2 linked regions of the Caenorhabditis elegans genome follow. The protein of the gene in region 2 interacts with the protein of the main gene of each other region in a pairwise test. Each region holds a gene or a part of one and is shown on either strand. Other genes may lie near its edges.

Evidence for each region. The genes of interacting proteins can lie anywhere in the genome.
Region 1: the proteins of daf-4 (region 2) and abu-14 interact in a two-hybrid assay, tested with the Caenorhabditis elegans proteins (one study listed by BioGRID).

What each region holds. Positions count from the first base shown.
Region 1 is NC_003280.10:9,224,658-9,229,115, forward strand, and holds abu-14 (Activated in Blocked Unfolded protein response), read right to left. Parts: upstream 2,558-4,458; 5' UTR 2,501-2,557; coding exon 2,411-2,500; intron 1,831-2,410; coding exon 1,033-1,830; intron 989-1,032; coding exon 755-988; 3' UTR 529-754; downstream 1-528. Other genes in the region: ZK1067.3 (uncharacterized protein), read left to right, coding at 382-432.
Region 2 is NC_003281.10:5,623,214-5,631,145, reverse strand, and holds the start of daf-4 (Cell surface receptor daf-4), read right to left. Parts: upstream 6,005-7,932; coding exon 5,864-6,004; intron 5,784-5,863; coding exon 5,652-5,783; intron 5,284-5,651; coding exon 5,161-5,283; intron 4,540-5,160; coding exon 4,432-4,539; intron 4,383-4,431; coding exon 4,274-4,382; intron 4,203-4,273; exon of another isoform or gene 2,940-4,202; intron 2,651-2,939; coding exon 2,588-2,650; intron 2,478-2,587; coding exon 2,332-2,477; intron 2,285-2,331; coding exon 2,177-2,284; intron 1,686-2,176; coding exon 1,300-1,685; coding exon of another isoform or gene 1,275-1,299; exon of another isoform or gene 1,048-1,274; intron 689-1,047; coding exon 1-688. UniProt on the Caenorhabditis elegans protein: Involved in a TGF-beta pathway. May be a receptor for TGF-beta-like ligand daf-7. Controls the decision of whether or not larvae enter a developmentally arrested state, known as dauer, in response to environmental conditions.

The DNA.
Region 1 (4,458 bases), on a different chromosome or scaffold from region 2:
AATTTTTAATTTTCTATCGAATTATGGAATTTTCATTCATTAATTGAAAAATTCTTTAGTGTTTGATTCGATACTTTGTCATTTTTTCAGAAAGTTTTCCGAAAAAAAAGAGTTGAAACTAATGCTACATTACTCATTTCTAGGCTAATTTTGAAATTTCGACGACTTTTTTTTGGGTGACAATTAAAAAAGATCAAGGAAAAAATCAAGAGAAACCAATGAATAAAAAACGCGAAAATTTTGAAACTTCTGTCGAAAATTCGAATTTGTTTCAGTAACTTCGTTTATATTTGCAAAATTCGGAATAAAATCAATAATAAATTTAGAAAAACTGTTAATTTGGATACATTTGTTTTTCTTCTTTTTAAATTTTTTTTTCAGCGTCGCTCAACCCTTCGTCGCTCAGCTCGAGGACTATTCAAACAGGACTAAACAATACAATTTATTATATGATGATTGATTACTGTGAATATATGTGATTTTTTATTTTATGTTTTGCCGAATGAAAACATTTCTTGTATAATTCTTAAATTAGAATAATTTATTGTCGAAACTCAAGGACAATGAAACATCATGAAAAAGAAGGGAACAATAATAAAATAATTAGACACCTCACATGGCTACCACTTATTTACAGACAATGTCATAATAAAAGTTATGTGAGAAGTGGGATGGGGAAACGAAAACAGAAGTTGTCGCATAGAAAACGCGGATACGGTAAGAATTCGTTCATAGAATTCAGGGAAGGGGATGCTTAACGACGACGGCAGCATGATCCACCGCATTGAGAATATCCAGATGAGCATCCACATCCAGAAGAGCTCGATTGGCATGGAACAACGATTTGAGCGGCTTGTTGACAGGTATTCTGGCAGGTTTGTTGGCAAATTGGCTGGCATTGAAGAACGGTAGCCGATGATTGGCAAGTGTTCATGCAGGAAGATTGACATTGATTCTGGCAGTTGTCTTGTTGTTGGAGGACAATGACCTGTAATATTGATTCATGAATTAATGGAAAATCAATATTATTACCTGTTGTTGGTTGCAGCTGTTTCCGGAGCAAGAGTTCGAGCACTGGGATTGACATTGAGAGTTGCACTGTTGGACACAGATTGGAGTTGGGCAGGCAGACTGGCACTGGTTGGAGCACGAGTTGGAGCATGAGTCTCCTTGTTGAGCGACGATGACGATTGGAGCCTGGTTGGATGTGCAGCTAGACGAGCAGGATGGCATGCATTGTGGCTGGCAGGTTGGCTGGCAGGCCTGTTGGCAGGAGGATTGGCAGGACTGAATGCAGATTGGGGTGCTGCAGGAGCTGGAGCACTGGTTGTTACAGTTGGATGAGCATGAGTTGTCCTGTTGAACAACGATGATTTGCTGATTGTTGTTGTTTCCTCCACAGGCTGGAGCACAAGCAGATTGGCAGTTGCATGTTGGGCAAGTCTGTTGGCAGGAAGACTGGCATGATCCACATTGGTTCTGTTGTGGTTGGAGAACGACAATTTGTGGAGCAGAGTTTCCGCAAGAGCTGGAGCATTGGTTGTTGCAGGATTGAGCACAGATTGGGGTGGCACAGGAGCTGATGCATTGTTGTTGGCATTGGTTGCAGTTGTTGGTTTGTGGAAGAAGGATGACTTGGTTGTTTCCTCCGCACTGTTGGTTACAAGCTGGCTGACATTGTTGGATGCATTGGGATGTTTGGCATGAGCTCTGGCACTGTTGCAGACAAACTGGGATGCATTGCACGTTGTTGTTGTTTCCGCAGCATGAGTTGGAGTTGGATGAACAGCACTGTCTCTTGGCACGCGACAACGCCAATCCGGTCTCGTTCTGCAGTTATTTAGGGCTCTTTTGTTTGACCGTAAGGAAAGACAGTGTGCTTAGATTTTTGCGCGCACACTCTGGGGGGCAATCGCGGAGAGAATCTTCATGCGCCCTTTGTTTACACTATCATTTTTCCTGTTTTTATCGGAGGGGAAAGAGCAGGAGAAGAAGCCAGCTGACCCCTTGAAATGACCACTTCACTTTGTATTAGTGAGGTCTCAAGGAATGGCCAATGACGGGAATAAATGAAATAAGAGTCTAGACAGTCATAAGGAAGCATCATAGTTAAAATTGAAAAGTTATTTAAACAAATGATTGCTGAAATTTGGATCCTGATGTACTAGACGCTATGCTTCAATTGGGCATGATCAATAAGATCATGATCATAACCAGCTTGTTCCTAAAGCCTATTCATTATTCCTATTCATGCACATTGTGCATTCAATACCCACATCCGCGCCGTGTCCTAATGGTTAGGTACACAGAAAACACGAAAATAATAGTGAGCATAAAAGAGGGAAAGTATGACTGAATGCTTAAATAAATGTTCAAAAGTACAAAAGTAGTATTTAAAAAAGAAATTTACCTTGACAGTCTCTTCGTCAGCGAAGACGAAGGTACTGGAGAGGGCCAGAACGGCGATAAGAAGAATCGAAGCTGCTCTGCGGGCTGCCATTGAAACAAAAATGTGGGGAATAATGAGTTGGGTAAAAGAAGGAGAAGGACTAGAACTCGAAGGCTCTGTATTCTGTCCAGATGGCACTGCGTACCTTTTATATAGCGGCGGGAGATGGGTGGGGGTAATGGGGAGGAAGGCGCCGGCGGTCGGTCGGTCGCGGCACACTTCGACTCCGCCCCGCGCGGAGCCAGGAGTGCTTAAGCGTTCGAAACAACTCCTTGAATCGGAGGATTGAGGGAGAGTCCAGTACCCTCAAGAGATCTCATCTTTTTGCCTGGAGATAGTGATTGAGACAATGAGGACTAGACGAAAAACATTTCATAATTCATACTCGGAAACCGGAGGTCCTCAAAGCCTTGAAGGGTACTGTAGTTTTGAAATAACCTGTATGACTTGAAGCTTGTATACTTTAGAACTATTCACCAAATGAGTGGATTATTTGTTCAGCTTTGGTAAATTATATAGCTACCAGTAAATTTTCGGAGTAAACCAAAGAATATGATAACGCAACTTGGTAGTTTTTTGAAGCGCATGCTGAAATAAAAATGGTCACACAGCGAAAAATAATTTAATTATCTTTCTTGATTTGTGATTTTAAAAGTTTTTACCACGACTGCTCTAATTTGACGACTCATATCTCGACTGTCATGAGTTATATCAAAAAATGTTCTACTATTGATATATAGATAAACATTTTACACGCATTTGGTTTGTTGACAATTTTTTGATAAAACCAAAGAGAACCGAGATATAAGCTTTCAATGTAAAGCAAAGACAATTCAAAAAACGCTGCTAAAATTGTTTATTTTTCAAAATCTTTCAGTACCTGGAAATATTAAAATCGGTACAATACTTGGATTTTTTAACGTTTTAGATGCACATAATTTATTATGTGTGTGACTTCCTTTTTCAATTTTTCTAAATAAAATTCCATGACCAATGCTTCTAGTTTCCAAATGTTCCGGACACTCTTAGCTTAGATATCAAAAATCTCTGCTTATCACTAAATACAGTATGCTCTCAATGCTCATTTGCTCTCTTCTTCTACCCGCATACTTTTTCATTCTCCTTATGCCCTTTGTAGGAATGTCGTCCCTGCTGACCCCCTCTCGCGAGCAATCATCATCCATAAATAGCAGCAACCGCACTGATTATCTTGTTTAGTTCAAGTTGCGCAATTTTTCGCTTCAAGTATTTCGAACATCTATAAAAAGATGCTCGGAGAAGACTGCTTACATAAAAACACATGTTTGTCGCTTTTCGTATCTCCAAATCTAGCCTGTTCTTTATCTCTTGATCTCCCCTACTTCACAGTGAATAAAAACATTTTTCATTCACATTCTTCATGAACCTGATGAAAAGTTGGTCAACTAAAACTCACACAATTGAAGTATTTGCTTACTTTTCGTATTGAATTTAATGGTCACTTTACCAATGCAATGCAGCTGGTTGCCATGTGAATTCAATTGTGACGTGGAACACGTGGAAAACAACTAGAAACTCCGAGAGGACCGGATTTCTGGGTCAGACATTGATGAGTCATACGGAATCACATCATTTGACAGTTTTAACCGTCTGGAGGCTCCCGGTTGGCAAATAGAAATTTCAATTGAACGCATTTCGTTGTGAGCAGCAATGTATGTAGTTTCTTGTTTTTGACGAGAGCTTATCACGTACAAATTCAGACTACGGTAAAATATTTTCGAAGAGGTACGCATCAATTGTATGTTACACAATCTAGTACCAATTTTTCCTGTTTATGTTTCAGGGCTCGTCGAAGTTGTCAGTAGTAGTAGATATACTTGAACCAATTATGATATCAACTTCCCTACTCATAAATCATGTCAATTTGATATTATTATGTGTACTATAGCTCCCTGCAATATACCTCGGTATTTGCCGGTTAATTTCTGCCTAATTTCGAATAAAAACAATGTACAACTTCTCTTCTAGTT
Region 2 (7,932 bases):
CACAGGAATCGGCGGAGGTGGTGGACACGAATCAAAAAACGGATTCGGACTAGGATGTTGTCTCTTGCTGGGTGACGACGCATGATAATGTTGCATTTCTTCGATACCCTCCGGCTTCTCACTTTGTTCAACATCATCAACACCCCGATTCTTCATACTACTTCCACTGTGATACCCCTCCGAACTGTCCGGTGAGCTCATAATATGATTCCATACCCTCGCGAACGCACATCCAGCTGTAATCCGTGCACACGCTTCGGGATCCCACATCTCTTCCGTAACCTTTTTTAGCAGACTCATATATTCATGTTTAATAATCTCATCTCTCCATTGTGGTCGTTCCTTCTTGCTCACCACATAATTTCTCATGAGACCAATTGTGGGATCAAATCCGATGACTTGAAACGGCATTTGGTAGTTTGGTGGCTCGTCGGTTTGGTGCAACTTGGTACGGGATATGACTTCCCACATGACGAGTCCCATCGAATAAACGTCCATCGCTTTGAAAGCAGTTGGCGTGAATTCGGTTGCTCCTTCGAGCATCTCTGGTGACATGTAGCGTTTCGTTCCCACTTGACCCAGCAAATCGCTTTGCTCAATGTCATAGCTGTAGATTCGGGCGAGGCCAAAGTCCGCGATGCATGTGGTCATGTCGCTTTTCACAAGAATGTTCTTCGACTTGATATCTCTGCAAAAAATTGGTTATTGAATTGAATAAGTACAGACATTAGAAACAGTTTGGAGCATACACTAACCAGCGTCGTGCGTCGTTGAAACTCGCTACCTGCTCTTAAAAGGTAACGTAGTGTTACTGGGAGCATTGGTTAGAATCTCTCCGATAGTAAACCGAATATCATAATAACACTTTGTACACAATTTTCCCGCGAAATTTATATTCTGATTATGTTCTAATTAACTCTAGATACTTTAGGTGTTCCAATGTACAAAATTGTTTGAATTTTTATTTTTTTTCTAAACCCTAACTTTTCGAAACTTCAACTGAAAATTGTCATGCGCCTAAAAATTGGTTTTTTTTTTTCAATATTTTACCCTATCATTTTGGACTCTATCGTGTGTATTTCAAAAAATATTTACTGGAAATTGCAGCCGACAACTTGTAGGTCCACGCTACTATTAATTGATCCTGAAAATGTCGGCTGCTCAAGCGCAACTTAGCAACTTCTTCCGATTTTTTCTAGGACCAACCTAGAGTAAAGTTCTGAGCATTAAAACTAGTTGGAGGGCGATCACAAGTCAGATCCATTAAAAATTTTCTAATTATTTTCATTTTCCACTAACCTGTGAATAATTGGCTTCTTTGGGTGTCCAAAGAAGTACGGCCTGTCGTCATGCAAGAATTGAAGCCCATCGATCATTGACATAATAATTCGATTGGCAGATGTAATACTAATTACATTATTCTTGAGTAACTCATAGAGACTAAGTCGCTCATGAAATTCGGTCACAATCCAATACTCATCACCAATTTTCTCGGCGCACACAAATTCGACGATACTTTTATACCACTTCGGGTACTCGTTAAGCTCATCAAAGATTCTTTTCTCCGCCAAAAAGCTCGCTTTTTGGAATTCGTTCAATTTCTTCACCGCAACCAATCGTTTCTCACCACTGTCTGGGGTGTATTGCGCCTTGAAAACTTTTCCAAAACGTCCCTTTGAGATTAACTGCAATAAACGAACAAATGTCATTGAGTGTAAGTGTGACGTCAATCAGCTCATGAAAAGAGCCTTCTGTTGTTTTCAACATTTTTTCTCAAAGATAAAGAAAAAGTAAGGAAAAGCTCAGAGTTCACAAAGTAGTGGACATCAAAAGTTTACACCGTGAGGTCGAACTTCCGAGCAAAATATCAAAAAGACGAACTATTATGAAGACGCGAAATATGTGAATTTTGAAATCAAAGTGCAAATGCGCTCCAATGCCAAATGAAAACGTTCCCCGACACTGTTAAAAAACCATAAATTCAAATGTTTTCAGAATTGTTCGTTGTTTTTAAGTTATGTTAACAATTGTTTTTGATAATTTTTAAAAAATTCATGTAAAGCTGAAAAGTTTCACCAATATGGTTTTTTTTTCAAAATTCAAATGTTGTATTCTAGATTTAGAGAGCATGTTTCAATATAAAATATCAAGCACGACTCTTGCGGTACCTACATACCTGAAAATCAGTGATCGGCAGCTCCTTTGGTGTCTCCACCATTTCAATCATTTCCTCTTCCGGCTCCACGAGAGGCACATTTCCAGCTTCCAGTGCGTCAGTTTTTTCCTGAAAATTTCGAAAATTGATTCGATTTCAAAAAAGACAAAACTCGCCATGTCAAATTTAATTTTCTGCTGCTTTTTTATCTCCTCCTTCTTATTCTGCTGAAATTTCCAACCAACGTATGCCAAGATCAAGAGTGCAATACAAAGGATCACTGACAGTGCGATTATGATGATCCAGTAGAATGGGAACTTGTCTGCAAATTCGCTCCATTGAGAAACTGACAAGAGTGGGGGATGTGTGGTAGAGGGTGTTTAGCACCTAGTTAGTACCCAGCTAGCCCCGAGACGTAGATGCAGACAGTACCTAGAGATTCCAAATCCATGTTGGATGGAGTTGAAGCCCACAGAAGTGCAGAATTATCCGAATCTGAAATTTTATCGGCTCTAAATAGGTGATTTCAAAATGTGTACATGTTTTTATTTGTATGTGTGTGTGTGTGTACAGGCATCTTCCACGGGTGCAAATTATTACGAAAAAGCGTTTGTTTCACTTTGCAACGACACTCCGCTCACTGGAGGGGAGGAGCCAAATAACAGCAGAGTGTCGTTGCGAATCGCCTCTAGAAACAGAAAGAACAAAAGAAAGTTGAAATAAAAAAGTGGTTTACTTGCAAAGCCACAAGAACAAACATAAAATTGCATGAATGGTGTGTGTGTGTATGTGTGAGGGGTAAGAGAAAATTAGGAGACAATCTGGAGAGGTCCACGTGCATTTTTTTCGGAGAAAATTAGGAAAGGGAAGAGAAATTGGGAACAAGGTTTATGACAACTGCAGGCTTTTACAGAGGTGGATTCTTTCAGGTTGAGGGTACACGGGGAAAGGTTGGGAGGAGTATAGCTAAAGTAATGGGAAGTTCTCCATATTTTTCTTAATTTCCGATTGACTTCCACCGGAAATTTGTTCAGCTTTGGCGCAAAATATTGTCTCAGGGCTAGCTGAACTATCTTTCAATGTTTGCCAAGCTCTCTCGAGCTTTCTTCTCAACCTCTGCTCGGTTATCCTTCTCTCTCATTGTCTCAACTTCAAATTTTATCATAAACGCGTCATAAGGTTGTCGCAGTTTGGACGAACGTTTGCTGAGATCCGTAGAGACCATTCAAAATTTTCTAATGGGGTTATTCAAGTAATGTAGCAAAATGCATTTAAATACATTTGTGACGTCACAAATGTATTTAAATACATGTTTTTATCTACTTGAATAAGGTTGTGACGTAATTTTTCTACACTTTTTAATTTTCCGACACTACTTGAATAACCCCATAACCTCTCTCCAACTTTTTTTTTCAACGCTCATAAATTAGTTGAAGATTCGTCGCAGCTTCCGTCTTCCATCTGGCCCGCTCCTCAACTCCTACTCTCGTCTTTCACTTGTCGAAAGCTTGACTCAGATTGATCACACTTCGCGTCACTTTCCCTATTACTGTGGCCGAGCTCAAACCAAACATCGCCAAACTCTCTCGAACTTTCGCCTGAACGCTTCTACATTAGGACATATTGCAATTTGGTGCTTCTCATTTGCTCGCAACGTTTGCCAACTTCCGTCCACTATCTCCCTACACTCGTCGTTAGTTTGCCACATTTTTGTCTAACTTCCTGGGAATTTTCTCGAATGTGCTCCAACTCTGTCGTATTTTAGTTGATGGGAGGCAACCTCCGTATGATGAACCGTATTTCGAAAAAATAACTAGGCACAGACACGCGTGGTTGTTCAACTTTCGTGAAAATTCTGCTAACTTAAAGCTAAATGTTTCACAGAAAACCTCTCATTTCAATGCCAACAATTTCTCCCTAGCCTCTAGCCCCAACGCTCACCCGAAAGAAGGTTATTTAAACAGAAAGTGGGACAGAAAGAAGGTAAAAAAGGTAAAAAGAAGGAGGTGATATATATGTATATTCACAAAAACAGAATCATTGCGTGTTGCTCTAGTATACTAAGAATGGGGTTAAACATGGGATATAGTGCTCTCTTAATATAATGTGCTCACTGACCCTTCTTCAATGACGGGTTGACCATCTCGATGAGATCCGGCATGTTGCAATTGTTGGTCGAACAGCAGCACATTCCAATTCCGCCGCGAAATGATCGTCCTTGGCGACACTGAAATTCCAGTTTTATGAGGTGCTCCGAATGCTGAAATATAACTTACGGAGCTTTCGTTCTCGCAGTTCATCGAGTCCGCGTGCTGATACGGCATACATCCCAGACTTTTGTATTGCGGTTTATCAACTTTCAGGTATGGTTCTGTAGAGTTTATCTGGAAATTTTAAGATTTTTGATGTTTATAATATGGATGCATATATCTATTATTATCCCCTTTACTCAATTAATCATCTTTTGAAACATGGGCAGCTAAATCCGGATTAGTTGGTTTGCACATTTTTAATGGATTCGATCAAAATTGGATTGATAAACTCAACAACTTTTAAGTTTGGTTTGAAGAGCTTTGTAGCAAAGGAATAATAAAGCCTTGATCATTAACTTTTTCCGCAGTATTTTTTTCAATTTGAATCAAGTTCCACGTTTAAATCCTATGTCGCTCAGTAAATTTTCAAAGTCGTCTTCAAAAAGGCCAAAACCTTGCTCATATGTATTTGTTTTCGATAAAACTAATGCAATTCTGATTTTAATTTTGATATTCAAATTCCATCCTACAAAACTATCAAAAATCACGAGTCATGTCACCCCAATTTGTTCCAGCTGACAAAGTCATAAGCCAGAATGGAAAAAAAAATGCAAAAGATACAAATACTTCCGCGGATGAAGAGGAAGAAGATGTCACTCATGAATAACAAATGAAACAATATATATAAAGGGCCCCCGTCATGTGACACAGTTCGGTCTGGGGGTGGCCGCCAAAAACCTCTTCCACACTAACCTCTTGCGTGGGCAGCCCAAATACGGCCAAGCATCCGACGGCTTTCAGATGAGCTTCACTGTAACACGTCTTCTTTGTGATTTCACAATCGCCACTCTTTTCGCATTCCATCTCGTCGTAGTACTGCAAAATTTTAAAGTTTAACGTTTTTACTACTGCTTTAATTTTGGGGAAGAGAGCCTATAATTATGGAATAGTGATAACACTTGAAAAACAAAAGGAGTTGTAGTTATTGTAGCTTGCGGGTTTGAACTTATCCCTTTTAGAATATCTTGGTACTTTAAAGTAACTATAGTTAATTGAAACAAGGATCAGTGGAATGTGGGTGGATTGGCTCTGCGACCTCTACAAGGGGAACAGGGCTCACTGGAATTAAAGTGTATTTGATCCAGTAATTTTTAAACAAACGGGAGAGTCACTGATTTCTGATCCCCAAAACGTCAACACTATCTAATGAGCCTAAATTCCATCAAATTGATCCAAAAACTTACTACACATTCAATCGAAATCACTTCATCCTCCTCATTGTCCATTCTCCTTAACGTGGGCTTCGCTGGTGCCGAGACCTTAATAGTGCCAGTTCCATTTGACTGTGCTACTTTGCTGACTAGGGTGTTAGCCCACTGAAAGATGGTTAAACCAAGGAGATAGAATAAAATAAAGAAGTTTACGACAAAAACACATTTTCTCAAAAAATGCTCACCTCTTTCTCGGCGGCTTCCGATTCGATTCGGTCCTGACGATCGTCTTCCGTGACTGCAACAGGAACCGGTGTGGCAATTAAAAAGAGTGGAAGGCAAATGAGCACAAGTGCCTTGAGACGTACTGTCCCTTTCTGATTCATCTGAAAATTGAAGGTAGTTGAATTATTGTAACGTTTTTTTTAAAGTTGAGGAGTAAAATAAATAAATAATTAAGATCAAATGTTTTATTGAGAAAAATAGATGCAAACTTATTTAAATAAAAAAAATAGGTCAACAAATTCAACTTGAGAAAAAATAAATAAAATTTCAAAAATTCGAAAATTCGAAAATTTCGATAAAATTAAATAAAATTGCCAGCTTTGCTAAAATTTCCAGCTAAAATTTTAAAAATTTAGTTTTGATGAAAATTAAATTTCTTAATTTCAAATAAAAGCAATCGAAATTTCGGATAAAAAAATTTCGAATTTCGACATTCGAAATTTCCAATTTTTTTAACAAAAAACTTTTCATTTTTTTAAAATAAAATGTTTGAATTTTACTTCGATGCACCATGAGAGTTCAAAACTTTCAACTAAAAAATGTCAACCAAATTTTTCAAAAATTCCGTAAAAATAGGAATAAATTGCACAATCTCCATCAAACGAAAGATGTGAAAAGTGTTAAGGAAGCACAAAAAGTTTGCAAAAAAAATGAAGTGAGAAGCACACATCAGAAATGAAGAGAGAAAAGAGAAAAAGAACGAGGAAACAGCAAAGATTGGTACACTCTTATCACTTTTACAAACTCTACTCTCTACTTTTTGTTTCAAATAAAAAAAGGTTTTCATTCAATGTTCTCTAATAAACAACAACAAAAAATCAAATGACGTGACAATCTGACCTACAAGAACCTTACAAGAGGGGCTCGCTGTCCTCTTGTGCTCTTTTTCTCATCGGAGGGGGCTAAAGTTGGGCGGGGCCCAAACAGAATGAAGGCGGGATCTTCCGGGGTCTATAGAACGGGAACTTTGAGAAAAATATAGTATCGATGAACACCTGCACCTTATAGGAAATGGGCGAAGTTCGGACTAACTGGACTTTCCATATTTCGGTTCCCAAAATACACTAGCAATTCGAGGAAAAATTAAATAATGTGCTATACACATGTAATGTAACCAAAAAAAGTTTCTCAGGATTATATTTCGTGCGTGGTACCAGGAAAACGTATGTTTTTTTCAGCAGAACGGAATTGGAGTAGGCGTGGGCTCGGCTAAAAGTCTAAAATGAGATTTAGGCTTGGGCTTAGGCTTAGGTGTTCGTCCAAGTTTGGGCTAGATGTCGGGCGCTAAGTTTCAATAAGTTTTCTGTAAAACGTACGAAAATAGAAAGTACCACTCAACGTCATCCTTTCCTTCTTCTTATTCAAAAACATGTCACCATTCGTTATTTCAGGTGAATTTATACTTTTCCTCCTGCCTCAAGCCTCCCCGTCACATTGAATCAAGCGACTTAAGTGGGAGAAGAGAATGTCAAAACGAATATTTTTTGAACATTTTTCATATATTTTTTGTGTTTACCTTGACAACAACAAAGCACTCGCTTTTTTCTGGGTATTATTCACTCGTTCTATTTTTGCAGCAAAAGCCGAAAAAGAAAAGGGGGAAAAAGAGCGTGAAACTCGGCGAAATTCACATGTGACCACGGTGGGTTTGTTGTTGTTGCAGAAGAAGGAGGAGAGGGTAGCAGCAGGCGTGTAAGACCAAAGCTCTCTTATGTTAGATGAAGAAGAAGAAGAAGGAAAAGAGCAAAATAGTAGGAACCTGAAGGCCTCGGAATACCTGAAGGAACCATCGAGTTCAAAGTAAGAGGTCGAAGAACAAGCAATATTGCTCACGATGAGTACACGACGGTTTTGAAAATTATATGAAAAGAGATAATTGTCAAGAAAAAAAATAAATTATTCGAATTTCAATTATTAAAAAATACATACTACCTAATTCGGCGGGAACTAAACTTATGTTTACTTTTTCAAATTTTTCCGTATAACTAGATCAAATTCAAAACATTAGTTCAAGTACTCCTCGTGAACA